Linked DNA regions of Oryzias latipes. The protein of the gene in region 2 interacts with the protein of the main gene of each other region in a pairwise test. Links are inferred from orthologs where the notes say so. Each region holds a gene or a part of one and is shown on either strand. Other genes may lie near its edges.

Evidence for each region.
Region 1: the proteins of cep70 (region 2) and nol12 interact in binary tests that used the Homo sapiens proteins (3 or more experiments, as listed by UniProt). The two-hybrid records come from large-scale screens. The link is inferred for Oryzias latipes from reciprocal best matches to the Homo sapiens genes CEP70 and NOL12.
Region 3: the proteins of cep70 (region 2) and sytl4 interact in binary tests that used the Homo sapiens proteins (3 or more experiments, as listed by UniProt). The two-hybrid records come from large-scale screens. The link is inferred for Oryzias latipes from reciprocal best matches to the Homo sapiens genes CEP70 and SYTL4.
Region 4: the proteins of cep70 (region 2) and ccdc94 interact in a two-hybrid assay, tested with the Homo sapiens proteins (2 studies listed by BioGRID and IntAct). The two-hybrid records come from large-scale screens. The link is inferred for Oryzias latipes from reciprocal best matches to the Homo sapiens genes CEP70 and YJU2.
Region 5: the proteins of cep70 (region 2) and uncharacterized protein LOC101171023 interact in binary tests that used the Homo sapiens proteins (3 or more experiments, as listed by UniProt). The two-hybrid records come from large-scale screens. The link is inferred for Oryzias latipes from reciprocal best matches to the Homo sapiens genes CEP70 and PIMREG.
Region 6: the proteins of cep70 (region 2) and brms1 interact in binary tests that used the Homo sapiens proteins (3 or more experiments, as listed by UniProt). The two-hybrid records come from large-scale screens. The link is inferred for Oryzias latipes from reciprocal best matches to the Homo sapiens genes CEP70 and BRMS1.
Region 7: the proteins of cep70 (region 2) and arhgef3 interact in binary tests that used the Homo sapiens proteins (3 or more experiments, as listed by UniProt). The link is inferred for Oryzias latipes from reciprocal best matches to the Homo sapiens genes CEP70 and ARHGEF3.

What each region holds. Positions count from the first base shown.
Region 1 is NC_019866.2:20,007,494-20,011,718, forward strand, and holds the start of nol12 (nucleolar protein 12), read left to right. Parts: upstream 1-1,425; 5' UTR 1,426-1,689; coding exon 1,690-1,799; intron 1,800-2,353; coding exon 2,354-2,459; intron 2,460-2,550; coding exon 2,551-2,599; intron 2,600-2,681; coding exon 2,682-2,818; intron 2,819-2,912; coding exon 2,913-3,007; intron 3,008-4,225. UniProt on the Homo sapiens protein: Multifunctional RNA binding protein that plays a role in RNA metabolism and DNA maintenance. Participates in the resolution of DNA stress and the maintenance of genome integrity by localizing to sites of DNA insults.
Region 2 is NC_019860.2:1,154,314-1,157,417, reverse strand, and holds the end of cep70 (centrosomal protein of 70 kDa), read left to right. Parts: intron 1-219; coding exon 220-301; intron 302-389; coding exon 390-518; intron 519-584; coding exon 585-713; intron 714-781; coding exon 782-950; intron 951-1,024; coding exon 1,025-1,127; intron 1,128-1,195; coding exon 1,196-1,275; intron 1,276-1,362; coding exon 1,363-1,424; 3' UTR 1,425-2,604; downstream 2,605-3,104.
Region 3 is NC_019868.2:10,075,580-10,079,822, reverse strand, and holds the start of sytl4 (synaptotagmin-like protein 4), read right to left. Parts: upstream 2,801-4,243; 5' UTR 2,384-2,800; intron 1,612-2,383; 5' UTR 1,488-1,611; coding exon 1,375-1,487; intron 1-1,374. UniProt on the Homo sapiens protein: Modulates exocytosis of dense-core granules and secretion of hormones in the pancreas and the pituitary. Interacts with vesicles containing negatively charged phospholipids in a Ca(2+)-independent manner.
Region 4 is NC_019880.2:9,141,798-9,145,972, reverse strand, and holds the start of ccdc94 (coiled-coil domain-containing protein 94), read left to right. Parts: upstream 1-1,375; 5' UTR 1,376-1,477; coding exon 1,478-1,501; intron 1,502-1,685; coding exon 1,686-1,786; intron 1,787-4,175. Other genes in the region: cocaine- and amphetamine-regulated transcript ch22 precursor, read right to left, coding at 1-59.
Region 5 is NC_019872.2:12,650,590-12,654,641, reverse strand, and holds the start of uncharacterized protein LOC101171023, read left to right. Parts: upstream 1-1,252; 5' UTR 1,253-1,280; coding exon 1,281-1,405; intron 1,406-3,058; coding exon 3,059-3,362; intron 3,363-3,452; coding exon 3,453-3,754; intron 3,755-3,845; coding exon 3,846-3,941; intron 3,942-4,052. UniProt on the Homo sapiens protein: During mitosis, may play a role in the control of metaphase-to-anaphase transition.
Region 6 is NC_019876.2:12,603,394-12,607,347, forward strand, and holds the start of brms1 (breast cancer metastasis-suppressor 1), read right to left. Parts: upstream 2,801-3,954; 5' UTR 2,669-2,800; intron 890-2,668; exon of another isoform or gene 779-889; intron 699-778; 5' UTR 693-698; coding exon 467-692; intron 386-466; coding exon 295-385; intron 190-294; coding exon 62-189; intron 1-61. UniProt on the Homo sapiens protein: Transcriptional repressor. Down-regulates transcription activation by NF-kappa-B by promoting the deacetylation of RELA at 'Lys-310'. Promotes HDAC1 binding to promoter regions.
Region 7 is NC_019863.2:32,612,986-32,617,073, reverse strand, and holds the start of arhgef3 (rho guanine nucleotide exchange factor 3), read right to left. Parts: upstream 2,801-4,088; 5' UTR 1,914-2,800; coding exon 1,876-1,913; intron 1-1,875. UniProt on the Homo sapiens protein: Acts as a guanine nucleotide exchange factor (GEF) for RhoA and RhoB GTPases.

The DNA.
Region 1 (4,225 bases), on a different chromosome or scaffold from region 2:
CAGGTTGAATTCCTCCAAACTTTTTCCTCAGACGTTCACGTAAGGTTGCCTTCCAGCAGCAGCCGTGGTCGTTTACCAGCTGACTCCATCCAGCTGTTCAGCTTCATACGTTGAGTGTTTGGAAGGATGTTTGGAAACATGAAAACAAAAACGGATGAATCAAATTTTCCAAAAGGAGGTTCCTGCCTTGGAAGACTCTGAAGCAAAATGACCTTGATGTTCTGTATTCATTCATGTTCTAAGCCGCTTTGTTCCTTTTGGGGTCACGGGGCTGCTGCTGCCTATCCCGGCCACTGGAGGGTGAAGGCAGGGGACACCCTGGACAGGTTGCCAGTCTGTCGCAGGGCCACAAATCACACCGGTCTGATCTGACAGAGTTTGTCTTTTCAGATCTCTGTCCTGTTTTCTTTTATTTGTAATTGTTGACGTGTATGTGCCGCAGCACTTTGGTTGTTATTTTTCTTTGCTCAGAGTAATGTATTTAAAGGTATTGGTAATGTTTTTGTGGGGCGGTTTTGTTAAAGGTGGGCTTTTCTTTTTCTTTTTTTTTTGAAGAAATCATCTTTAGGATCAGAGGGGCATCTCAAAAAAGCTCTTTTTTTGTTTGTACATAACAATTCTTCATCTAAAATGTAAGCTTTGTCTGCAGAACTCACTCCTATAGTTAATAATAAATAATGTTTGGAGATTTTAGGATCTATGGGTATACGGGCTGGAAATGTCAGGAATCAGTTTTCACGTCAAACTACAGTCAAAGGAACATAGAAAGGTTTAATCCGTTTGCATTCAAACTCTCTGACCGGTCAAGCGTCGGTCGTCAGCCTTTAACCAGTGCTTTTTTTTTTTTTTTGGTTTTCTTTGAAATTGTTACTTTATTTTTGTCTTTTGCCCTATCAAATGTATGTCTTTCTTTTAAAGTTTTATAATAAAATGTCACAACAGAATTTCACCTGCAGTTTGTGTACCTTTTTATATAGAAGATAATCAAGAAGTAAGACTCAAAACAACATCTCTGCTGGTTCGACTGATGGAAGTTTGCCATAAAATTGGTTTGACGAACAAAGTGGTGATGCTGCGTTTTGAAAATCAGTGTATCATAAAAGAAAAAGGAAAATACTTAAACTCAATTAACAAAAAAGCGCGATATTTCCACGAAAATGTTCCAGTAATGAAGTTCCTTCTACCAAGATCTAAAACTTAATGCTAAATATGAAGCTGCAATTCTTTGTATGCAATACGCTTCTATAGATAATTGCAAGAAAAGCATGACGAGATTCCACAAGAAATGAGAGTTGAACTGCTTTATAATGGAATGTAAATTTAATAATAAACAATATTAACCTTTTTTCCTTAACAGGTGTTGTGCCAAGAAATGTTTCCCCTGCCGGAATTTGTTTCCGCTGTCGCGGCACAACTTCTGGGACTGGGATCGTTGATTTGTTTCGTAGCCCTCATATTTTGCCACATTATATCGTAGACATGCACCTTCCTTTTACGCTTATATTTTAGTTTTAAGAGACAAATTAACGATATCAGATACAGGGGAAACAAATCCTGGGAGGGGAAACATATCTTGGCACAACTCCTAGCTCGGCGGAACGATCCATAAGTACTTGTTTTCCGTCGGACGGAATCAAATGACGCGCATGTAAATAAAGTGGACCACCGCCGCTCACTCACGTGTTCACAATGAAAAACAGTAAAAACTTTAACCGGGCCTCAAAGAAGTCTACATTTAAGCCCAGATCTAAGAGGAGAGAAAACAAATGCGTCGTTACGTTTGATGACAAAGACAGACAGTAAGTTTAAAGACGATAAAAATGTTTTTAACGGTTAGCTTTGGCTAATATTAGCATAACATGCTTGTGAATTCAAACTGAAAACAGAGACAGGAGAAGTTGTTGGGTGATATCTATCTATCTATCCAGCTGTCTATCTATACTGGTATTTTAAAAAAGGATATGACGGAAATAACTAAACAAAAAATGAAAGCACCGTCTGTGGTCTGTTTTATATTTAAACACAGGTAATAAATGTCAGCGCTTGTTTGTTATTTTTCTTCCAAGCCTGGCATATACCTTATAGCAACTCTTTCACTTACTTTTGCTGAAACTTTTGACCTGTAATCACTCCACCACCTGTGATGACGACAGGAGAATACGAAATAATAGGGAAAAAGTGCCAGGCACCTTACCTGTGCCACGGGTTTATGTCCTTTAGGTTGGAGTTATGTTTCCTCTAGAAATTGCTTTATTTCTGATTCATGATTCATTTTTAGTCTCCTACAGTTTTCAGCTCAAAATGGGAGTTTGAATTTTAAATAAGAGGCCTTTTACCTTTTCCCCTTTTCAAGAGAGTATCTCACTGGATTCCACAAGCGGAAGTTGGAAAGAAAGAAAGCAGCAGTGAAAGAAATAGAAAATAAAATAAAGGATGAGCAAAAAAGAGTCAAAGAAGAAGTAAGGTTCAAAATTTAGGATCTGACTTCCATCAGATCTGCTTTGCCTAACAAGAAATGCTGTCATTTATTGTGCTTTTATTTTTTTGTAGAGGCTTAAAGAATACATTAAAATGCTAAAGGAGAGGACAGAAGCTCTTGGTGAGTAAACCAAGAAGTAGATAGTTGTTATTTTTCCTTTTGACGCTAAAGTCCGATTACCTTCTTCCTTTCTGGGTTGCAGCTGACGATGATCTTCTGGAAGATGTAGTGACGAGTAAAACTGAGTCTGTACAGTATGATCACCCAAACCATACTGTTACTGTGACGACCATCAACGATCTAGACCTCTCTGGGAACCATCTGCTTGAAACAACACGGGTAAACATTTAAGTCTTTTCTTTGGTTCTTTGAGTAAAAAGGTTTTAGCAAAAAAAAAAAAAAACTGCTGGTATTTGGTTTTCCAAATGAGCAGGATGGGGATGAAGGCAGCAAGGAAGAGGACGAAGAGAAGAAAGAACAAATTCCCACCATGCCAAAAAAAGCGGGGAATCCAATCATCAACAAGAAGTAAGTGGATTCTGTTGATATACATGTATGTGTGTGTGTGTGTGTATATACACCCAAGAGTCACCCAAGGTCACCTTACAGGTACAAAACAATCATAAAACTAGTTACAAGAAGAAAACATTTGTTAAGTTCATTAAAAACAACAACAAAAAAAACAATAGAATTATAAATTAATTAGGGTGGATTTGCTAGTCTCAAGAAGTGGGTTTTGAGATTTTTAGCAAACTGAAGGAGTGAGTCCATGTTCCGTAAATCAGAGGGAAGTGAGTTCCAGAGCTGGGGGGCAGAGCTCATGGAGGTGAGCCCACCGGTGGGTGCAACCAGCTGGAGGGAGGAGGCAGGACCCCAGGACAGAGCCTTGGGGCACACCTGTGATAACTGGAACTGTAGGAGAGGTGAATGCTTGCAATTGGAGGGTTGACTGTTTGAGTTTGCGGACAGGTAAATACTTTTTGCCCCACTGCACATGGATTTAGTCGTCGCAGGGAGCTTGTGACCCGTAAGACATACATAGGAGATGCGCTCCTTTCCATTTTTTCGTCTGCTCCTTAATCACAATGATTTGAATAAAGAAATATTCAGAAATAGACTCCAGCTTCCTCCCACCATCCAAAAACATGCTTCATAGGTTAATTGGTTACTTTAAGCTGTCCCTAGGTGTGAATGTGAGTGTGCAAGGGTGTGTGATTTGTGGCCCTGCGACAGACTGGCGACCTGTCCAGGATGTCCCCCTCCTTCGCCCACGAGTGGCCAGGATAGGCTCCAGCAGCCCCGTGACCCCGAAAGAGACAAAACGGGTTTAGAAAATGAATGAATGAAAATACTCAGAAGTGCAATTTTGAGATCAATTTTCTTTACTTATTTTCTCTATCATCAGTATAATGACACAAGAACATGTTAAAAACACCACAAAAAGTTTTCATGGGAGTGTCTGTTTTAATAAAAACAACAAGCAGTAGAAGAGGAAGATTGAGGAAGATCTGATTGATGAAATATTTCAGTCTGACAATCTGGGTCTGAAAGGGGGGACATGGTCTATAGATCTATGTTTGCATCAACTAAATTGTTTGTTTTATATAAAATCATCATTCAATGCTGCGTCTGATGGATAAATAAGACACATGAACTCCGTTTTTTCCCCGAATGTTCCCTTGTTTGGAATGAGTTGTGGATTTAAACGTGCTCACTGACCGCCGTCACTCTCAGATCTTAGTGTAA
Region 2 (3,104 bases):
TTTAGTTTGAAAACTGTCGTAGGAATTTGTGTAGCTCCACGTGAACGCAAGAGTTTAGAACGCAGGAGCTGAGACGTGGACCAGCTAAGGACCAGCTGAACGCAGCCTAAAGGTGGTTCTGGTGGAGTTCTGTTGGTTGAGGGTGGAGCTCCTCTGCGTGGTGACGGACAGAGGAGGAGCTACCTACGGTTATTTTCCACTCCTTTCTTGTCTCTGCAGGTTGACCACAGTGGGCGGAGCTAAGACAAAGGGCGTAGAAGAACCTCCTAGGGAGGTCTGGCTGTGCGCTCAGTTCCGAACCGTGAGCGCTCTTCCCCCGGTCTCTGTCCAAGCTTCACTCTGATGTTTTCCTCCTTGTTTTACCGTCTCCTCCCTCTCTCTGCTTCCAGCTGCTGTCTGACATCAGAGCGGTCATCGGGAGCCCCGCCTCCTCCAAAGAGGCGGAGTCAGAGCTGGCTGACTTCCAGGCGCTCCTGCCGGTGTTGGAGGACTGGGCTGGCCAGCGCCGCCTGCTGAAGGTACGGCGTGGTTCTGGGGTTTCCGCGGTGAGGACGTGCCGATGTGTGACACTGCTGTGTCTTCAGGACCTCCGGGACCTGCTGGTGGACCTGTCAGGCGGGCCTCGAGAGGACTCTGCGGCCGCGGTGAAGGTGGAGGACCTGATCGTGCTGGTGGAGGACATGCTGGAAAACGCATCCAAAGACCCTGAGCAGGTCTGCCGGTCTGCCTGTGGGTCGGCGCTGGTCCGAGCGTCAGGTTCTCACTCTGCTCTGTTCTCCAGAAGCTCCGGAACTCCGCCCCCTACACTCTGAGCGCCATAGTGTCCCACTTCCAGAAGCTGTTCGACGTTCCGTCCCTCAGAGGGGTCTACCCCCGCATGAACGAGGTCTACACGCGGCTGGCAGAGATGACCAACGCCATGAGGAACCTGAAGGACGCTCTGGACCTGGGTAGCTCTGATCCCGTCCGTCCGGCGGCTGGTCTGCGCATTCCTGCAGTCACGCTGGAGTCTTTCTGATTGCAGACGGCAGAGCGTCGCCTGCGGAGGTGGTGAACCACGTGTCTGCGCTGGCGTCTGCTCAGCAGTCGGGACTGCGGGACCTGCTGGAGGAGGCGGACATCGACAGGTGAGCACCTGCAGCTCCAGAGTGGCGCTCGGCTGCTTCCCCTCTTCACGCCGTTCTTCTTCCTGCAGCGTCATCCTCAAAGTGAAGCAGCACGACGAGTTCCTGCCCGCCTTCCACCGCCTCATCACCGACATCCTACAGACTCTGGGTGAGGGTGAAGCTCTGATGTTCTCGTCTCATTACTGAACAGCTGCTGGCTGAAGGAAGATCATCTGCTGTCCTGTTTGTGCTGCAGGTGTGACTCACCTGGAGGAAATCCTTCCTGCTTTGAAGTCTCTGCAGCGTTCTGCAGCCTGATCTCCCGATTATTCCACAAAAAAACCACAGGAGAATAAAACCGTCTCGGTTCCTTCACTTCTCGGAAATTCTTCTGTCCTCCACTAAATACCTGTGGGACATGACCAAAGAGCTGTCAATTGACCCTCTGGACATGACCAAAGACCTGTCAAAGGACACTAGGGACAGGACCAAGGGGCTGTCAAAGGACACTAGGGACATAACCAAGGGGCTGTCAAAGGACACTAGGGACAGGACCAAGGGGCTGTCGAAGGACACTGGGGACAGGACCAAGGGGCTGTCAAAGGACACTAGGGACAGGACCAACGGCTGTCAAAGGACACTAGGGACAGGACCAAGGGGCTGTCAAAGGAAACTAGGGACAGGACCAAGGGGCTGTCAAAGGACACTAGGGACAGGACCAAGGGGCTGTCAATTGACACTAGGGACAGGACCAAGGGGCTGTCAAAGGACACTAGGGACAGTACCAAGGGGCTGTCAAAGGACACTAGGGACATGACCAAAAAGCTGTCAATTGACACTCAGGACATGACCAAAGACCTGTCAAAGGACACTAGGGACAGGACCTAGGGGCTGTCAAAGGACACTAGGGACAGGACCAAGGGGCTGTCAATTGACACTAGGGACAGGACCAAGGGGCTGTCAAAGGACACTAGGGACAGGACCAAGGGGCTGTCAAAGGACACTAGGGACAGGACCAAGGGGCTGTCAAAGGACACTAGGGACAGGACCAAGGGGCTGTCAAAGGACACTAGGGACAGGACCAAGGGACTGTCAATTGACACTAGGACAGGTCCAAGGGACTGTCAAAGGACACTAGGGACAGGACCTAGGAGCTGTCAATTGACACTCGGGAAGGAATCAAATAGCTGTCAGAGGATACCAAGGGCTGGGTGATATGGCCTATAAATATATCTCTTAACATTTGTTTTTCATTCTCATTTCATTTAGACACAAAAAGTACAGAAAATATTTAACAAAAACTCTTATTGTTACGTTTCCTTTGTGAAATAAACACGAATGCTGGTAGAACATATTGGCCTGTTTTTAATGAGCTGCCGCAACTTTTTGTTGTTATAAATATGTTTTATTGTCAAACTGTTTGAATTATGGAAGCATTTTTGTATACAGAAAGTCATTATGGTATTTAAGGTAAATTAAAAACAAATTTTGAACATTTTTTTGTAATTGTGTAGTTTTCTGTGTTTACCATTCTTCCTTTCTATATTCTTTAGCTAAGTGGCCTAGTAGTGGAGTGTCTGCGTTGAGATTGGATGGTTGTGGGTTCAAATCCAAGCAGCTCCATCTAGAATTAAAATTTGAGATTGGAAACAAAGTTGAGGTCAGTTTTCTTGTGATTAAAAACAAACAACAAAAATTAAAGTATTTTTAAAATTTTATCAGAATTGTGAAGGATTTGTACACCCCGGTATATTTTTTTCACGCTCTAATAAAACAAAAAAAGGAACGGACCAATGAGTTCTATCGCTAGAGGAGACATCACGTAGTTCCTCATGGGAGGAGAGCACCGCCATCTTGGTGAGGTCAAGTCACTGCTGCAGTGCATGCATGTGAACACATTTTTTGACAAAATGCCAGTTCATTGTGCAAGTTTCAACTGCCAAAATCGAAGAAATTAGTCCATGAAGGAGGAACGCATAACGTTTGACAGTTAAGTCT
Region 3 (4,243 bases), on a different chromosome or scaffold from region 2:
AAGTTACCATGGTGATATACCCTGGTACGACATAGTGAATCATATTGTAGCTGGAAAACTGGGCTGAGATCTGGAGATAGTTTGGTTAAATCCCAGATCCTGATAGTGGTAAAAACCTGGAAGTCTTAAATCTTTGAATAATAAAGCAACAGGTTACTTGAAGAAACACCATACTAACTAAAATGCAGGAGAACCTGCTCAGGAACAATTAATTCAAACAAGCATCAATCATGCCAATGTCTTTAAAAGAATTATCCTAAAATCAGCAAAGAGCTAAAGCCATTTATCCAGGATGAAGAAGACGCTTTCCAAGTACATTTACTACACTTTCTGGCATAGATGAAACAATAAACATGTCAGTGTTATTATTTAAATAAATAACTTCATAAAATCCAAATTCTCTAGGAAATCCAAGAGCTGAAGGGTTAAAAAAAAGTATCTCTTAACACCAAATTGATCTTATTTTTTTACTTTAGAAAAAAGTTTTCAGTTAAAGTTCCCCTCCAATCATCTTTTGATCTATTGTAAAAGTGTTCCCAGAGGTCTTATAATTAATATTATTTATATTTTTAGATAAAACAATCTAAAAAAAAGACTTTTTATAGGACATTTTTTCTGCAGCGCGGCAGTAGTTTATTAGAAATTCACCTCTGAGTTGTGGGTTAGACTCTTGGTGGATAGTAAGCCTTCACTCATTTCCCATCACCTCTTCTGTTCACACTCTCTCCCACTGGCTTACAGCCCTTCACAACCTCAACCTAACTTTACTGGTGCTACGAAAAGACGTTAATGGATATAATTGTCTACAAGTGGATGCACTGGAATGGAGCGGAGGAGAGCTGCAATGACAAGCTCTTTCAAACAGTGTTTGTTCTTCTGCTCCTGAATTACATTGATTTGAATAAAGAAACTTTAATCCTAATTTCCTTCACATATGCCTCCATCATAAGAACAATGCTCCAAGAAAATGTAAAAAAAACAAAAATGAAGATGTTCATTAATCTATTTCCATTAGAGTGGGTCTTCTAATAATTTCTTACACTTGTTTTTCTAACAAAAAAGTGCTTTCAAACGTTTTAAATGTGAGAATTTTTAGTAATAAAAGTTCCATATTTGTTTAGTTTATATCAGTTGTTGTGTGAAAACTTTTTAAAAACTAAACAAAATTGGGTTATATAGAAATTTGATTAATAAGTATTAAATCAAATCGCATCAAATTCAAAATCAAGTCAAAAGTTATCGAAGCGATGTCAAATCAGTTCAGTATTTTTGGCAGTGATGCTCAGTCCTAGTCATGCCTTAAAATATTTACATGTGTTAAATGTTTCAGATTATAGAAACTGTAAAAACGAATAAGAGTTTCTGTTTTCTTACCGTACACGCCGCTCCTCCGTGAGCCTCAGCTCCTCGTCCCGTTTCAGCACTTCCAGGATCTTCTCCCGCTCCAAGTCGGACAAGAAGCTCAGATTGATCATTTCCAGAGCCATGGCGATTTCAATTAGGAACCGTGTGGATAAACTGGTTTAAGGCTAAAGCCGTTCCACTGAGACAAGATCCATGAAGAGGAAGCCACAGTTTGGGAAGACAGCAAAAGCTGAATCTGTGTTTAGCCTTGCAGAACAAACCCAAAAAATATAAAGTCACATATTCAAGTAGACCTCCTTTAAAGGTTAAAATACGTTTGCCAAGAAATTAACATTTTCACATGACATGAGACATAAATCTGCAGCTGTAAAGCAAACTATCAACTATTCCCTGATGGGTGGGAATACAGATCCAGCATGTAGGGGCGTCTAAAAATCCACCAGAGTGCCTCTGACGGGGAGTGAGGTCGTTTAAAGTCAACCATGGTAAAACAACATGAATGTCATGCCTGGTTCCCACCCTCCAGCAGAGAGATGACAGGGTGGAGTTCAGCAGTTTATTTATTTAATCTTCATCTGACAGTGATCATCTGTTATGGTGTCAGTTAAAACTCATATAGATGTATAAACTAATTTACAGTGAATAGGCAAAGACACAGACTGGAAAGGCTTTTTCCTCGTTTTCTGAATGCCTGAGCCTCACTAAAAATAATAATGTACCAGCAGGACAGCAGGAGGAGGAGGGCAACTTACAATTGAACAGGAAATAACACTAAAATTCAAACGAGTTTTTAAAAACACATTATTGAGGCCATATTTTATTTTTCAACTGAAAATGACAAATGTTTGCGAATGGCTACCTTCTAAATAATAATTAGTTTTGATAATAATCACAAATTAAAACAGAATTGATATTTCGACTAATGAAAAAAAAGCATCGTTTGATGTGATTTTCAACGAGTTGCTGAGGCTAAATAGGGTAAACGTCGATAAAACATTTAAAATACTTGATAACCTACGTTGTTCTTCAGGGCGGTCGCTGAAGTGAAGGACCTCTGCGGACTGCCACCGCGTCAATGAGTCCACACTCAGGCTAATTGAGAGGAAACGCACACCTGCGTGCGTGAAGAAGAAGCTCGACGGCTCTGCTTCACCGCGACCGACAGAAACCGCAGCAAACAGCGGCGCACATGCTAATCCTGCACTCAAGTGTCGTGGAGCTACCACAAACTACAGCACAGCGCTCCTCCTCTTCTTCTACAACCATACCCCCTTCCAGCCAGGTTGTCTCCTCGCCTCCGGGAGCAGGGAGTTCGGTGCGCGCGGCGCCGCAGGAGTCCCAACAAGTACCGGAAGATGAAAGGAAAGTTCCCAGCAGCAGGCGGGCGCGAGCGCTTTTCCACGACAGACGCGTTTCCTTAACTGTTGATCAGAGAATGTGGAAAAGTCACGAACACCAGCTTGATTGGTATCACCCCCCCCCCCTTTATGTGTGACCAAACTTGGAAAACTTTTATTTTTAGCTTTAAATGCGTTAACCCAGAGCGAACAAGAGTTTTAAAGTAAAACGTGTTTTTTTTTTCTAAGTCGGAACAGGCCATTCTTGTCGCTCTTTCTTTGGAAGGTGCCATTATTATTTGTTGAGGCGTGTTTGGGGGATTAACGCACCATTAAGTAAACACTGCTCCTTTACAGTTAAAACTCTGCTGCCCCACTTAAAAACCAACTAGTCATTTATTTACTTTTTAGATGTTTTAAATTGTTGTTAGACATCACATAACGCTTGGAAATAAGTGTGTTGAATGGTTGTGATGCTCCTGTGAATCACTTCCCCACTCATTTGTATGTTTTCCATGATTTCACATTAAAAATTAACATGACTGTTCCTGCTAATAGACGCAGCATAATAATGTGGTGCTTTAATTGCTGAGTTTTAAGACCACTAGTCCTTAGCACCTCCTGACAAAGAAAGAAACTCTTTGCTTATTGTACAAAAATACAGTTCTAATTTGGTTTAAATATAGTGTATTTTTCAGGCTACAAATTGTTCTGGAGTACAAGCTGCAGCAGCCAAAAAGTGGACGATAAAGAAGGAACAAAAATTATAAATAAGTCACAGTTCAGGATAAGCTGCTCTTCTTTGAGAAACGTAACAAAATACAGGAACAAGCATGGCCATGTTATTTTGAAATCATAACAGAATAGATTATTTTATTCTGATTACACTCTTCATTATTGTAACATATTGATGTTTATTTAGCTTCGTGAAACATAAAAGGAATCCAGTATATTTGCGCAAAATATAAACAATTATTACCCACTTCAATGAAAATTACATTTTGGGTGTTTTTAAAATTTTCTGGTAGCATTTTTCTCATGATGGAGGATGTAGACCAAAGGTTTGGACTGTACACACAAAGTGTGTCCAAACTTTCGGTCTTCACTCTATATAAAGAAAATTACGCTTAAAATTTGTGATTCTGAGTATTTAAAAAAAAGTTAAATTGTGAATTAGGAGCAGACGAAAAAAATCTTGTTGGAAAAGCTTGTAGCAGTGATGTAGGTAGTTGGCAAATTCCCGGCCCTGCTCCATTCTGATACATCCACTTGTAAATGACTAGATGCATGTACATCTTTGTTTGTGGCTGGATAGCTCCAAATTTGCTCGCCATTTTGGTCACAGCAGTTGGAGGTGTGAGGGGCTGTGACAGAGTGTAAACAGATGGATGATGGGAGTGTGGGAAGGCTCACATTGCACCAACGGTCCAGTCTATAACTTAGAGGTGAATTCCCGATAAAACTCCTGCAGAAACTATGTTCTAGGAAACAGAACTTGTGATTTAGGCAAAAAACGGGATCACCCTAATTAAAAACACTGG
Region 4 (4,175 bases), on a different chromosome or scaffold from region 2:
AGCCAAAGGTAGGTGCAGCTGCAAGTGACCACGAGGAGGAGAGTCCGCGCGCTGACCATGGTTCTGAAAACCAAAAACTCTTGTTTCTGCGACTCTTTGGAGACAATTGGGAATCACGGGTCCTGTGGAGATCCTTCTATCCAGAGAAGTCCCGTTTTTATAGGCAGATGCTGCACTTGTGACATGCAGGAGCAGCCTCTGAATTATTCAGGCCATCACTCGTTACCTTTGCATCTTTGACAAGACAACACCAGGTCAAATCCTAAGGGGCTAAAGGTGAATTTACATTTAATATCATGTGTTTGCCATCTTAATATCAAAGCTTAGTGGATTTCCTGAACATTTTTAAGCGCAAGATGTGACACTAAATTTTTTATGTTTTTGTATTTGAACATACAGTACATGAAACAGATATTAAGAACTTTTAAAAGTTAATCTAAATAAATCTGTTAAGTTAAAGGTTTATCAATCAGTTATACCAAACAGTTTTATTTATATAATCATCATATCTAGTGTCAGGTTTCAATCAAATCCAACCAACCTCACTGACACCAACCTGTACTCAAGATTCAATTTCCTCCTGTGTGGATAACCTTAAGCCCACCTGCAACACCCCTTTAAAAACGTAGGAACGTGTCCCTGTTGGGATTGGTTTGCACACGAATGCGTGTCAGAGGTAAATCACCACTGACATCATACACCTTAAAGGTCACCATACGGATCACGATCTCTTCCAATGTCTCCTAAAAAGGTAGATTCAAGAAGACAGCCATGACGACAGTGACCAAGCATTGACTCCACTTTAAACCAATCCAGGAATGTTATGCAACATTTAATATGCGGTATGTTTGAACTTTTCATAACCAAGATAAGACTAAAGAGTCATTGTGTTATTATAAACTGGTAGATTCAAATGAAAGTTTCAGGAAACGTGATTGTGTCGTTTTGTTTTGATGCTAGCACTGTTTTCATGGCTCTGATTTAAAAAAAAAAAAAAACTACAACCAGTGTCGGGTAAAACTTAAATACAAAGCTTATCAAATATTCATTCCACTGTCTAAATGTGATGCTTGTCAGTTTACTGCCATAATGTGCATGTTGTAACCTTTGTGTTACAACATACATGTTAAATCTTCTAGAAACCCAACAGTGTCACTTCCTGTGCCGAAACATTATAAATAATCCCTTTACTCTAAAAGAGTCAACTGTAAATTAATATAAACTATAAATAAATCAATGTTACTTCACAAAACCAAGTTAATCCAAATCCATTAAATATCGACCAATCAACTTTACTTTTTTAAATTGTTGTTGTAATTACTCCCTTCTTCCATGTGGGGGCACCATAATATAATTGTTGACCGGAAACAAAAATCTGACATCACCGGAAGTTAAGCCTGCAGCTCTTTTCCCCTTAAAGCTTCGTCGATTTATTTCTCGCTCAATTCTTTGTTTTGGTTAATCCAAAAAAGTTACAATGTCCGAAAGAAAAGTTCTGAATGTAAGTACATCCATATTTATGATATGAAGTGTTTAACTTTAAAGCGGGTAGTTAGGCGTAATTTTAAGAAAAATATTACGTTCTTGAGTTCATTTTTGTAGCATTTGTTACTGTGTTTTCGTATTTATATTGATCCTTTGTGAAATTCAGAAACAATATATTGCTAATAAATTGCCTTTTGCAGAAATACTACCCCCCGGATTTCGATCCAGCCAAAATACCCAAACTCAAACTCCCTAAAGATCGTCAATATGTGGTCCGATTGATGGCTCCCTTCAACATGAGGTTTGTTTTTTACTTGTGTTGTGTGCGTATACGACAGCGTGTTCCAGTTCCTGTCAATATCCAGCAAGTTCGCACAGCCATTGAAGAAGAGTGGACCAAATTCCACAGGCCACAATAGCCTCCTTAGACCCGGCCAATTCATTTATGTCCTCTATAATGGACATTTTGTTTACCTTTATATTTCTAAGGAGTTAAGAGATACCTTTCCAAATCCTACTCTACACTGCAGAGGACATCCTGGGCTTTCCAGTGATGTGTCAGGTGATGAGTTTGCATGCTGGGAACTTTAAGTTTTACCTCTACCAAGATGGCTTCCATACCATTAACCTGTTTTTATGGAAAGGTGAAAGGCAAGTCAAAATGTCTGTATCTATTCATTTTTTTTTACCATGATAATTATATATAATCTTGGTCATAAACATGTTAGGAACAATATTTTTAGATCTGAAAACAGTTTCATGTTTTCTGTTTTAAAACAGCAGGCATTTAATGAATGTCCACTGTAGAGGACACCGGGAGCATTTTAATGTATTTAATGGCTGCACATTATTTTAGGAGAAAAAAGTGAAGCAGAGAGGATTCTATGCCAGATAGTTGAGGAAGATTCAGATTTGGAGCTTTAGGATGATGAAAAGGATGAGGAGGATGAGATTCAGGAAAATATAACTTGTTTTTTTAATTAACTAGATTTTTTTTTGTGTTTTTTAAACGTCCATCATAACAGGTTTACACCTGTGCTAGCAGGGCGCCCTGCCTCTCAAGATGACTCCAAAGCTTGTGAATACTGGTGTCCAATCCTGTACTTTTCACAGTACATTGATAACAACATTTTCGAGGATCTGTTTTTGATCTAGTTGTGTTCCAACTACCGGGGAATCACACTCCTCAGCCTCCCTGGGAAAGTCTATGCCAGGGTACTGGAGAAGAGAGTCCATCCTATAGTCGAACCTCAGATCCAGGAACAACAGTTAGGTTTCCGTCCTGGTCGTGTAACAGTGGACCAGCTCTACACCCTATCTAGGGCGCTGGAGGGATTGCGGGAGTTCGCTCATTCAGTCCATATGTGTTTTGTGGATTTGGAGAAGGTGTTCGACCGCGTCCCCCGTATCCTGTGGATGGTTCTCTGGGAGTATGGGGTCCGGGGAGCCTTACTGAGGGCTGTCTGCTCTCTGTATGACCGGAGCAAGGGCTTGGTTCGCATAGCCGACAGTAAGTCAAACCTGTTTCCGGTGCACTTTGGACTCTGGCAGGGATGCTCTTTATCATAGTTCATAGTTTTTATGGACAGAATTTCTAGGGCACAGACAGGTGCCGTTGGGGGTCTGGTTTGGGGACCACAGGATTTCAGCTCTGCTCTTTGCAGATGACGTTGTCCTGTTGGCTTCATTAAGCCGGGACCTCCAGCATGCATTGGGGTGGTTTGTGGCAGAGCGTGAAGCGGCTGGGATGAGGGTCAGCACCGCTAACTCTGAGGCCATGGTTCTCGACCAAAGAAAGGTAGTTTGCCATCTCTATGTGGGTGGAGTCTCCCTGCCCCAGGTGGAGAAGTTTAAATATCTTGGAGTCTTGTCCATGAGGGGAGGGAAGACAGGAACGTGAGATTGACAGGCGGATCGGAGCAGTGTCCGTAGTTATGTGGTTGCTGTTCCGGTACGTTGTGGTGAGGAGAGAGCAGAGCCAATAAGCAAAGCTCTCAATTTACTGGTCAATCTTCCTCTGTAGCAGATGGTCCAACAAGTGACAAAAGTGATATAGAATTTTATTGTTTTAGAAAAAAATGTAATGTTTTTTGGATGAATATCACTCTTAAGATTTAATCTGCTCCTTTGTCTGATTTACCTAATTGAGTTCTACTTTCACAGAAATATCGTCCTGTTGTCCTCTACAGTGGACATGTTGGGAAATTAAAATAAAAAATAATTTAAAAAAATTAAAATTGTGAGGGTTTTTTTTAGACCTAAATAGATAGGAATTCACACAAAAACAAAAATTGGAAGACACTTTTTTTCCTCGGTTCTCAGGAGGATAGACAACCTGATCAACTCTATGCGAAGGAGATGTGTCGCACTTCATGAGGCAAATGGTGGTCACACCAGATACTGACTGGTTGTCTGAGTCCCCTGACCCCCTCAATAAAACAAAACTGAAGATTTCAGACTGGCCTTTTCTCGTGGCCAGTCTAAGGCACACCTGTGCAATACTCGTGCTGTTTAATCAGCATCTTGATATGGCACACCTGTAAGGTGGATGGATTGTCTTGGCAAAGGAGAAGTGCTCAATATCACAGATTTGTGAACAATATTTCAGAGAACTGGTTATTTTGTGTATGTGGAAAATGTTTCACATCTTTGAGTTCATACCATAAAAAATGGGAGCAACAACAAAAGTT
Region 5 (4,052 bases), on a different chromosome or scaffold from region 2:
CATAGCTTGTGGCCAAGGTTGACCAATCAGAGAAATCATTAATGTCATAATTTTATTAAAAGATTGCAATTTGTCTTGAGTTTTTGTTATTTTCCTTCTCTGTCATTTTAATGGTTTTTGAATCGCACACATATGTTTGTAGTCTTGTAGACATATTGTAATCACATGCTGGGTGTTTTTAATACAGCCATATAAGATCCAATATGAAAAGACAGCTATGTTCATATTAGGAAATGATTGGACTGAAGTTGAAAAACATTGACTTGATTGTCTGGGATCCCACCAATCTAATGCTGGGGTTTCACAAATAGGTTTGCAGTGACATCTGCTGGCCACTTTACTAAAATGCACATCCAGGTTTTTATAGCACAGTCAGTGACTTATGTTTTTGTTTTTTTGATAGGGTTGTGGTTTTCACTGGAGCTTATCACAGAAGGTACTGTTCACTGTGGACAAGGTCACCATCAGTACCTTGCATAGTAGCCTAATGGCACATTTAGAACAAAATGTAAGAAGATGATATTTACCCTTTTTATGATTTTTGGATCATGAGTTTTTATTGTTTTGTTTTGTTCTTTTTTATAGAGAACACCAACTAAGCCTCACTTTACATTATAATATTAACTTTGTATGCTCACTGTACATGTTTACCATATGACATTTGCTTTGTGATAAAGCAGATACTGACAATGGATGAATGGAAGATGGAATACTATTTTGCCATGCTTTTAGTGTAAATGCCCTTGATTGATAGTTGTAGCAATTTTCTGTGTTTTATCTGTCTTTATGGCAAATATCCATCAGTCTAATGATAACTCTACTGCTCTATAGTTCATTGACAAGTTCAAGTATTTGAAATAAATTTAAGTTAGCCATGTACTGCCTGTGTGTATCATATTTGTGAAATACTGTACATTTCTTAAACTTACTCCATTAAAAACAATAAAAATCCATTTTTCTGATATTCTCTCTTCCTATTATTCCCCAGATTGCATTAAACCTGAATTTACTATCAACAAATAAATAAAAGCATGATAATACATAATAAAATAACGTTATTATTATTATTATTATTATTATTATTATTATTATTATTATTATTATTATTATTGTTATTAGTAGTAGTAGTAGTAGTAGTAGTAGTAGTAGTAGTAGTAGTAATAGTAGTAGTAGTTGTTGTAGTAGTAATAGTAGTAGTAGCATTATATTTTCCACTATATTTTTGCGAAAAAGGACAATAGGACGAGTTCTTTTGAATTTGACGTATTTCACCACGAGCTATGAGTAAGGACGTGATGACGTCAGCGTGCGTGCATTCCACAGAGGGAGTGACCGCCGCCGCCAAATTCAAACAGGAAAGTTCTGCTAGCAGCGACAACAAGCCAATTGAACGCGTGGTTTTTAGGTAAGTTACCGCTTCAGCATTTAGCTGGACGTTGGATTGTCTTTTCTGATTTTTATTTTGTAAGACTGAGCTACCAGTGTCGCGTACTTAGCGGCACTTTTACAAACACGACCTTATTTAATTTGAGTGACGTTACAAACTACAAAGTTATAGTTTAGTCGTAGAAGAACAACCGAAAAATTGTGTGGTTCAGCTCTTGCTATTCAAATGTGGTGTTTTATATATGACGATTCATAACATGCTAACATGACTTCGATGTTTGTTTCATCTGTCGATTGAGTAGTGAGAGCCCCGGGAATAAAACAAAGCGGGGTGGGGCAGTTTGATTGACAACTTTGTTCTTTTCACCCAAGTGTGTGTGTGTGTGTGTGTGGGGGGGGGGGGGGGTATACCGGTGTTGGTGAGCTTTTTGACGGTTTGACCCTCAGCGTTACGTTTTAATACAGCTAGTTATTTCTTTTTTAATCATGCACGTGCATGTTTATTTTATTTTGATGGATTTTTAGTGCTTTAATTCTCATTTGCTGACAAACCAGCAAATGAGACTTAACGACTAACTGTCTTAGAGTGTGTGAGCCCCTTGAAAATCTGCCGTTGATTGTGTCTTATTTTATGTATTGTAAGTGCTCAGAATATGATGGACTTTTAATTTAGTGTCCTTTGATATGTTATTCAGTTTTAAAGTATAAAATTATGAGCTCTCTTTCACATGGTTGAAGTCCCGCTCCCATCATTTGATCTATTTTAGGTGTCCTCAGTGGTCTTGGCCATGTTTAACCAGACTTTGAAAAATAAATAAAAAGCCTGTGTCGTTTTTAGGACATAGTTTCTGCAGAGCAGCAGTAGTCCATTTAAAAAATTGCCCTGAGTTTTGGGTGGGACTGTTGGTGCGGAGTGAGTATCCCCATCCCATCTTCCTGTCACCCTTAACTGAGAGTTATCTGTTTACATGCTCTCTGCAAGTTACAGCCCCTCACAACCCCAACTTTACATTACGTTTGCTACAAAAAATGGTGAGCAATATGGAGCTATCCAGCTGTACAGTTTTAAGCCAAATTCCAGCTATCCAACTGCATTTTTTTGTCTGCTCCTGATTCACAATAAAGCAATACTCAGAAATGTAATTTTGAGCTTATTTTCCTTCATGTATGTCCTCCATCATCAGAGAAATGCTATATTAACATCTCCAAAACACCAAAAACTAGGGCTGCACGACATGAGGAAAACTTAATATTGCGATAACGATATAATTTGCGGTATATAAACAAAGAGCAAAACAACCAAAAATGTTATTCCCATTTCATTGCAACAGTTTAAAGATTATACTCCAAATGACCCTCGTCAACATAGGAGGCGAACATCTAACATAATAGGGCTCCATCTGATTGGTCAACAACGTGACGGGGTCCATCCGATTGGTCAAATGCATAAAGGGATTTATTTGATTCGTTTAATGCTTCAAGTTGCCATAAGATTGTTTTAGCACATGTAGGGGAACCATTCATTGCTATTTTCATTGTCTTTTGCGATATGCAGATTGCACAGCTAGATATTGCGATAGCGATAAATTTGCGGTGTATTGTGCAGGCCTACCAAAAACCCAATTTTCATCCTCAAGGCTTTGTTTCCCCTTATGTTTTACGCATCTCTCAGCGCAGCAGTGATGGATGGTGTTGGCAGAGCTGTGGTTGGAGTCTGGCGAGCACACACAGTCCTAGATGAATCAGATGATGCAGAAAACTCTCCAGAAGCTCCTGACCGTTTCCGCAAACTTCGCTCATCATCTTCCCTGAACTCGCTGCGGATGTCTTTGCGCAAGCGCCTCCCACTCCGCTCGGTCCAGACCGGCTCTCTACCGGAAAATCCCACTTGGGAATCCCTGAAGAATCAGCCTAAACCCAATCCAGTCAGCAAATTTACTCGCAGTGCCCGAAACTCCTTTACGGGAATGTACCAGGTAAAGAAAAAAACATGTAAGAATTGTTCTGGGACAATACCATTTGTGTTTCTTTCAACATCGTCCATTCCGCTGTCTTCTCTTACTCAGAGGTTGCAGAAAAAAAGAGAATTTTCCCGTGAGGAGTGTTTGGTTGCAACACCGGGTCAGGAAGGAGATAATGCTTGTTCCTCAAATTATTGCACTCCAAGCCGTACTCCTGGGCGAGCCACAACAGTCAGGCGAACGCCTAGATCTGCAGCTACTCCCAGGCGGACCCCAACCTCTAAAGGCCAAAAGACCCCTGAGGGATCCATTCGTGGGGTTAAAACAGGAGGAGGCAGGAGGCAACTGGTTCGAATGGCTGCTTTACGAAGTCCTTATGCTTCCCCCAACACACAGAGCCAGAGACTGTGAGTTCAGTCACTGCCTGTGTTCATATGTTGGTGTTTCCCCTTTATGTGTTGGTCCTGATGTCAGCTCTGTTTTCTTCTGATTAAACAGAAAGTTTGACCAAGATTTGGAATCCGTTTCTAATGGACTCAGCAGACTCCAGCGTCTGTCTAAAGCCTTTGATGACATTATGGGAAAACGAGACGGGTAACGTACTTTGGTTTTCTGTAAAGTTTTTCTCTCTTTTTTTTTTTTTTTGTTAGTTTGTGTGGTGTTTGTACATGTGTGGTGGAATAAATTCATATCTTCTCCAAAAAT
Region 6 (3,954 bases), on a different chromosome or scaffold from region 2:
TGTGCGTTACTGAGGCGGGGTGAACGTAGCTGCAGAAGGGAGGAGGGTTTTTTTCTTTTACCGGCGACTTGCGTCCGTATCTGCATGCTGTTCTGCAGAGCCGTCAGCGGCTCCCGGTACTCTCCAGCCTTTCCTGTCAGCACCTCATCCAGCTTCACCTTCACCTGGTTCAGCCGCTCCCGGAACAGCCTGCAAGCACAGAGGCCCTTTAGTCGAGGTTTTCCTGACCAGTGATGTTCACATAGCAGACCACATCCCATAATACCCCCCCCCCAGTGCCAAGTTTGGAGTTACTTCTCCTTCAGCTCCTGAAACTGTTTCTCCAGATCCATCATTTCATCGAGACACTCTCCTCTCCTCCGCTCACAGTCTTCATCGTCCATCTCTTCACAAAAGGACACATAAAGGAAATTTATTCTCTCTGCATTTTTGAATCACTTCTATAAAAAACCTTTTTTGTTTTTACCTGAACTCTCCTCTTCCTCCTCCTCCTCCTCCTCCTCTTCTTCAGTCTCATCCAGGTCGCTGTCCCTCTCCTCCATGCTTTCCTCCATGGGCTCGTCTCCTCCCCCTCCTGCTCTCGTTTCATTCCGCTTTGGCTCCTCCGTGTCGCCGTTGGCCGTAGGGAGTTGGGACTCTCCTTCTGCCCCCATCTTCTCCTCTGGCTCCCTCACAGGGGGTTGGGCCGGCATGGCGAGCTGGAAACAACAACGACAAGCTCAACGACAAAAGCTTTCAGTCACAAAATCCACATGTCCCTGATGGTCCACAGACCTACCTGAGTGTTACTGAAAAAGGTTTTAGTCTGTCATCTTAATGGTTCATGCGATTTAGAAAATCACAAAGAAAACCAATGAATCCATTTAAAAGAATTGATATACATTTATTTGCATTTCACTGAGGGAAATTAGTATTTGATCCTTTAGTAAGAATTAAGAGTTCTGGTTCACACAGACTCTCCTAATCCTGTCACCTGAATTGAAGACACCTGTTTGAACCAATCCCCTGTAGAAAAGACACCTGTCCACAGAATCATTCAGACTCCAAACTCTCCAACATGAGAGACTAAAGAGCTTTCACTGGATTATTTGGAGAAGATTCTAGATCTGTTGACCCCAAGAGCACCATCCCCACTGTCGAGCGTGGAGGAGGAAGTTAAATCTGATCATACAGCCAAGTCAATCATGGAAATGGCTGCAGAGGAAGCAGATCAAAGCCATGGAGTGGCCCTGGACCTCAGTCCTATAGAAAATCTATGGGGAATGCTGAAGCTTAGGGTTGCTAAGCGACAGCCATTAAGGCTTGATGATTTAGAAGTCATTTGCAAAGAAGAGTGGACCAAGATTCTTCCTGATATGTGCAGAAACCTGATAATCAACTATGTCTGACTTCTGTGCTGCTAATAAGGCTTTTCCAATAAAGTACTACGTCTTCCCAGCAAGACAGTTAAAATAATAGTTTCCCTCAATGAAACGCAAATAAATTCACAAATACTTTAAAATCGATTTCTCGCTTTTCTATCTTTCACTGTTCAAATGAACATAGTGTTCAGATGACAATTTCTTTTGAATGCAAACCAACAAAATCAGCAAGAGATCAAACACTTCCTACACTGTATGTCAGAAATGCATTTATAACATCTGGCAAAACAAATGCTTTTAAATCAAAGCCATATATTTTTTAAAGTATTCTTGTGATGATGTTTGTAAGATATGCGGCATTTGTGTTTTTACTGATGGGATGACCTCGTTTATTTGATAACATTAGGAGTTTTAAAGATTCTTAAAGATGTCCAAACAGTTTTTGGTCTAACAGATTCACGTTACATTATTATACACGTTCTACAGGTGAATTCATTAAATTACAACTACATTTATTCAGTATGTAATGTGGTTAAGTCAAACCTTGACGATGACTTAGCTTTAATAAAGCTACAATAACAAGGGTCAAAACCGGAAATCGATTAGCTAAAAACAAATGCTAAATAAACAATAATTATTTTACATTGCATAACATGGCAAAATGTGTAATAAGCGTGTGGTAAAAACTGAAAATAATTTTTTTCTAAACGTCTAAAGGCCTAAAAAGGTTCAATAATGTTGAAAATTGCCATTTAGGTTTTTATTCAAACCGGAAGTCCGCTTTCACAGTGCTTAACTTGACCAAAACTGGCTTCCGTATGGAGGTAGAGTAAACTGGTAAACAAAATGAAAGCAACGGCGGGATTTAAAGCCTACACTAAAGTCAGGAAAAGAGACGCTCGTTTTGAAGGCTGCACTCACTTAAAAACCCTGTAATGTTTATTTCGCATTTCGGCCGCACTTTCACCACATTGAGCTCAAACACACCTCCGTGAAGTCAAGTGCAACACAAGCTAACAATTGAATCAAAAACGGAGACGGCAGTCACTGCGCACGCATCACATTTACACACGAAGGAACCGCCTTTCTCATGGAAATCTTCTTGAAACGTTTTTATTAATTAAAGATGGAAATTAGCACTCCAGAGAATCATAGGAGCATCTTGCAGACCGACCTGCCAACCGAACTACACGGATTAACTCGAAGAACGCACTCCCTGAGTCCGAGCGGACAGGGGGATGCTATCCGCTACTAACAAACATAAATCATCTTTATTACTGTTAAGTCAGACGTGAAAGCCATCTTACCGTGTCCCTTAGCCGAGCTATGCAGAAGAAACGTTCGGTTTAATGATATATTTCCATTTTGGAAAGTACTTCCTCTTCGATCGGCTCCTCTTCAGTTAGACACTTTGCCGGACTCTGTGAACTGTAAAATCAACCAATCAGCGTCGAGGGCTGCTCCTGACTATCCAATAGGAAGAACCATCCCGCAAGCACCCTGTCCAATCAGAATGAAGACACAGCTTCTATGAACCAATTGTAATTTAGATATACATCTCCAACATATAATTTAAATATAATATAATTAAGTAGAATGAAAAATTGTTGTTTAAACACAACACTACAAGAAAAAAATACAATTTCTGATTATGTTTACGTCACATGAAACGCAAAATGTAAAATGAAATTGAGCATAAAATAATTTTGCTCAACCTCATGCATATACAGCAAAATTTTTTTTGATACGTGTAATAATAAACGGAAGAGCAAAAATATTGACATTAAAAGAAAATGATCCACAAATCGTCAGTTTTACATATTTTTTATTAAAGTTGCATAAAAGTAACAAAATTGGGCAAAAACAAGACCTGTTGTTGATATTGCTACATGTGTTTGTTGGTTTGCCTAATTTTTAAAAACTGTACACTCCCCTAACACGTCTAATCTGCATGGTTTAGCTCTTGTATTTAACCTCAATGGTAAAATCGTTTTTTTTCTTTCCCAAACAGTAAAAAAAAAACCAGACTTGTCAATAACAGTCTAAGAAGACATAATAATAATCCAAAACTTGAACTTTAAAAATGAAAATCCACTGAAATTCAGCTGCTGACTGAACTTGCCTGGTGCAATTTTACTGATCGAAAAAGGGAAGAAAAGTAAAAACTAAAAAACAGCAGTCGATCTATCTGGAAACATCATTGAGAAGGCAAAAACAATCACATCTGAATGGATTTTTCTTCAGCTAACAAATCAGTCCAAGGCTTGGCGTTGAGAAGGGTCGCGATCACAATTTATAAACAGACCAGCATTCAAACACATGGTTTATCTGAACAGCATCACTGCATCAAGGCCTACGGCAAATATGAAACACACCTAAAAAATATTGGTTTAAAAAAAAAAACAGAATCTCAAAAAAGGAAAATCCAAGATTCTCCCACAAGATGTAGCTCCACCTGGTAGCACATCTAAAGAAAAAAGCAAAGATGTCTCCTGTTTATTTGGTTTGTGTAACATAAATAATACCTAAGGCAACATCTGTTTGAAAACAGGAAACTCAAGAGCGATGAGGGAGCAGGACAGGAGGATGCATG
Region 7 (4,088 bases), on a different chromosome or scaffold from region 2:
CGGATCTCCTCCAAACAAAGTGGTTCTTCCCAGCTTTGGCTCAAATCTAACTGATGATTGGATCCACAAATCCTGCTGCAAAAGAACCAGATACATCAACCGCTAACTTGAATCCTTTTACAGTTTTTAATATAGTAAATAACTGTTCCTGAGAGACTTGGCTTCATTTGAAGCTTTTGTGTATTTCAGCAGCATCTTCTCCAACCAGATGTGAGTCTGTAGCTTTTTAAAGTTATCTGAAGGACATGATGGTGGATGATGACTGCTAGTTTTTGACATTGAGTCGAATGTAAAGATCCTAAAGGGGGGGGGGGGGGCTTTACTGGCCTCTGGATTTCATCAGAGCTCTGCAGCCTGTGGTGAAGCGGACGCTCTCTGCTCGTTTCAGAGCCTGAAAATGACTCAATCCTTCCTGGGAGTTGTTTTTCCAGAAGGAAAGGCGCCCCTCCCTCAGTGCATGTCCGTCTAACTCTGAACACGCTCTTTAAACCGTCCGACCTCCAGCGACTCCAACCAGGAACGGCGAGCATCGCAGATGCAGATCAGACGTGTGTCTGGCTGCAGGTTCCATTCCTGCACCTCATCCTTTCCCCTCATCTGTTTTCAATAGACCCCACCCCTTCTGTCCATGCAGATGTGCCCTTTAACCAACACTCCAACAAAAAAAGAAACATTTTTATGAGGAAATAAATGTGGATTCAAACTTAAGATGCTGTTGACGTCAACCTAACAGGGAAAATATTGACTCTATGAGGAAAACCTTTTTTTCTTTTATCAGAACAGAAAATAATGTTCACACTTGTAGTGGATCCCAGAGCATAAGCACCACCTTTCACTTTCCAAACCCGGGAGCCTCTGAAATGATTGGCTGTCCAAAAAAAGCAGCTGTACATCATTTATTGCATCCTAAAAACACGTGCTTTCATGATTCTCAGGTCAAACTGTTTTCTAAATGATTTTTATTTTCTAGAAGCTGGAAAAGCAGCTGTTTTGGGTTTATTTAAAAGAAAATCCTGCAGATCTCCAACAGAACCGTCCAAGCAGAGAAATAACTGTTGCTTCACATAAACTGCAGTCACTTCACAGAAAATCAAGAACATTTACCGGGAGGTTTAAGAGTCCGAGTCTGAATCTGAACAAACCTGATCTGCTTGTTTGTTTTCTGCAGAAAATCAAACACCAAGTGTAAAGCACGGTGGTGGTGATGTGATGATCTGGTGTTGCTGTGGAACCCGGATATCTGGATGAATTCATGCCGTTTTTAACTTCATCTGATGTCAGCAAAAGCGTAAACTTTAGTGTTTGCGTACAAAGGTGAGAATTCTCCCGTGAGGTGAAGGTTTTCAGCCATGAAGTCACCTTGGGTCAGGACCTCTGATTGGTTGACGTTTTGCATCCTTTACATACCTTTTTCTGCTTTTCAAAGGAGCCCAAAGAGACTTTAAACTTCCTCCTCTCCCCAAACTGGTTTAAAGAAACTTCTTCAGCTACTCAATCCCTAAAGAACGCTGACGTCACAGCACAACATGGAAACGACCTGAAACACCTGCACGAGGCAGCAAATCACCTGAGACCCAAACGAACTGGCAAAAACAGTCCGATCACGTGATAACATCAAAGACATGACGGCTTTGATGTGGACTCCCGTTCACACGTTTGTCAGACGTTTCCTCTCAGGTTTGGATCATAAAGATCCAGATTCTTCTGCAGTCAGACTCGACCGGGAAACCTTTTCTGTAAAACTTTTCTAATTTTGTCAAGGAGTTCTGACTGAAGAAAGGGTCATCCGTTTCAAAAGTTTTACTTTTTATCACAGACATTCAAAAGGTTAAACTGAAATTCAACAAGAAAATCGCAGACAGCCCCCCCCCTCACCTGGATCCCCGCTGGCATCCATCATCACCTGCCGGCATCGGCCTGCAGCTCCTCCCGCGGAGCAGAAAATCTCAGGCGGGGAAAAAAATCCGCTTTGTGGTGATTTCAAACACGAAAGAGTCCAGCTAAACCTCCACGAAGTCCCGCAACCAACAGATGGAGAGGAAGGAAACATTCCACTTTCCTCCTCTTTTCAAACGCTCAGCTAGAAACGGTCAAAAACCATCCCGTTTCCGGTTGCTACTTCGAAATAAAAGCACAAGTTGAAGCAGGAAGCTCAACAAAATAAAGGTCATCCACTCTTAATCGGACGAAACAAGTACATTTGAAATGTAATCCATTACAATTATTTAAAGTAAATCCCTAATCGGACAGTCTGTAAACTGCACTACACAACACCTGGATTACTTTTATTAACTTTGACGGGAAAAGAACAGCAGAAAACAAATTATTAAATGAAACTGCACAGATTTTACATGTCAAAGGGGGATTCTATGGTCGTGGGTCCTTTACTGCTGACACAAGGAACATGAGAACAGAACCTCAATTCCTGCTGATTCTACACCATGAGAGTCGTGGTACGTTTTCCTCCTCCTGACACGCTCTTCTCTCTGAATTCCAGAGGTTCATGAACCGTCATGGATGAACAGAGTCCTGCTGATGTTTTCACAGTTGGTCCAGCTGGAGGAGCAGCATCAGCTCCAGATATTTTAGGCCATGGAGGCTAAACAGGCAGAAAAAACAAAGTCTAAATGGAGCCTGAGGCCTTCCAAACGCCAAACTAGAGGATTTCAGAAGTCTAACAGAATAAAAGCCTCAGTCCAACTGAAGACGGGGAACTCTGAGCAGAAAAAAGACAACTGCTTCAGAGAGAAATGCTCTGTCTATCACGCCGTGGGATGGACAGGAAACTCTCCAGCATGGATGTTTGTGATGCACTTCCTTTATGGATCAGATTTAGTTTGACTTTTACATCAGTTTGAATATTTTAATCAATATTTTAATTTTACTCATTTGCTGAATTTCTGATTGTTTTTCTTATTTAGAGTCAAAGTTGAGTTTAAAGTTTTGATTTTTGAAAATAAAAATTCTGTTGTTAAAAAATGACTATAAACCAACCAGTGAATGAGATGAAGCAGCAACAACACAGAAATACAAACACAAATGTGACAACAAAGGTCTTTGAAGTATATCTGGTTATCCTCTCAGGCATATTATAATTATTTTCACTCTTTATTTTTCTGCACGTTTGCACTGGAGTCTGCGCCGTTGGTCAAAACGTCACATTTGACAGTAAATAGATGTTGAAACATTCCTCAAAAGTCTAAAGTCTTCTTAGGTCTCTGCCTGCAAGTCTCCAGTTCTCAATCCGTGATCAACAGGAATTAAATAACTGGAATACAGACGAGCTACAAACATTTACCTCATGAAGCAGTAAGATTTACTCTTTAATGTGAAAAGAATTCTGTTATCCTTGTTCAAAAAACAAAAAAGGCATCGAAGGCAGCTGAAAGGTTGAAGCTTTTATTTTGAAGGTCAGCGTTTGGAGTTGCCGTGCACTGAGCTTCTGCCTGAGTCCTGCAGGCTCCTGTTGTTTTTAGCATCGATGCCTCAGTGCTCACGCAGAAAAGAGCTGCTGTTTCACGTCAGAACGCAGATCCACCGGTCAAAGCAAAACCGGTTTCTCTGCTTTTACTGCAGGATCATCAGCTTCAGCGCAGCTGAAACATTTTCATGGTTCTTCAGTCACGCAGAAACCACGTCTGAAACACGGTCAGATGCTGCCCAAAAACAGATTTGAAGTTTCCACCGGAGAAAACGCAGCAGAGATCGAGAAAAAACTTCTGTGAAATAGATTTATTCACTTCCTAAATTATTGTAATAAAATAAAAATAACAGTTCACATATAAAAACAATTCCAATACAGAAAGGATCGTCTACCTATACAAAACGCAAACATTTCATGGGACAATATTTGCAGGTTGGAAGCAATGTTTTCCATGTATGAAACAGAAGACAGCGATGGGAATCCGAAATAATACAAAAGTATTCAGTCAGAAACAGACTTTAAAGGGTTAAAAGGGCCTAAATGAGTTCTTGTTACAACGGATGCAAATGAAAAATTACTCAAAAACGCAAACATGATTACATTTAAACGTTCATGTTTGTTGTCAGAAAGAGGTGAAAGTCGTGGCTAAAATGCTTTGAGTGCA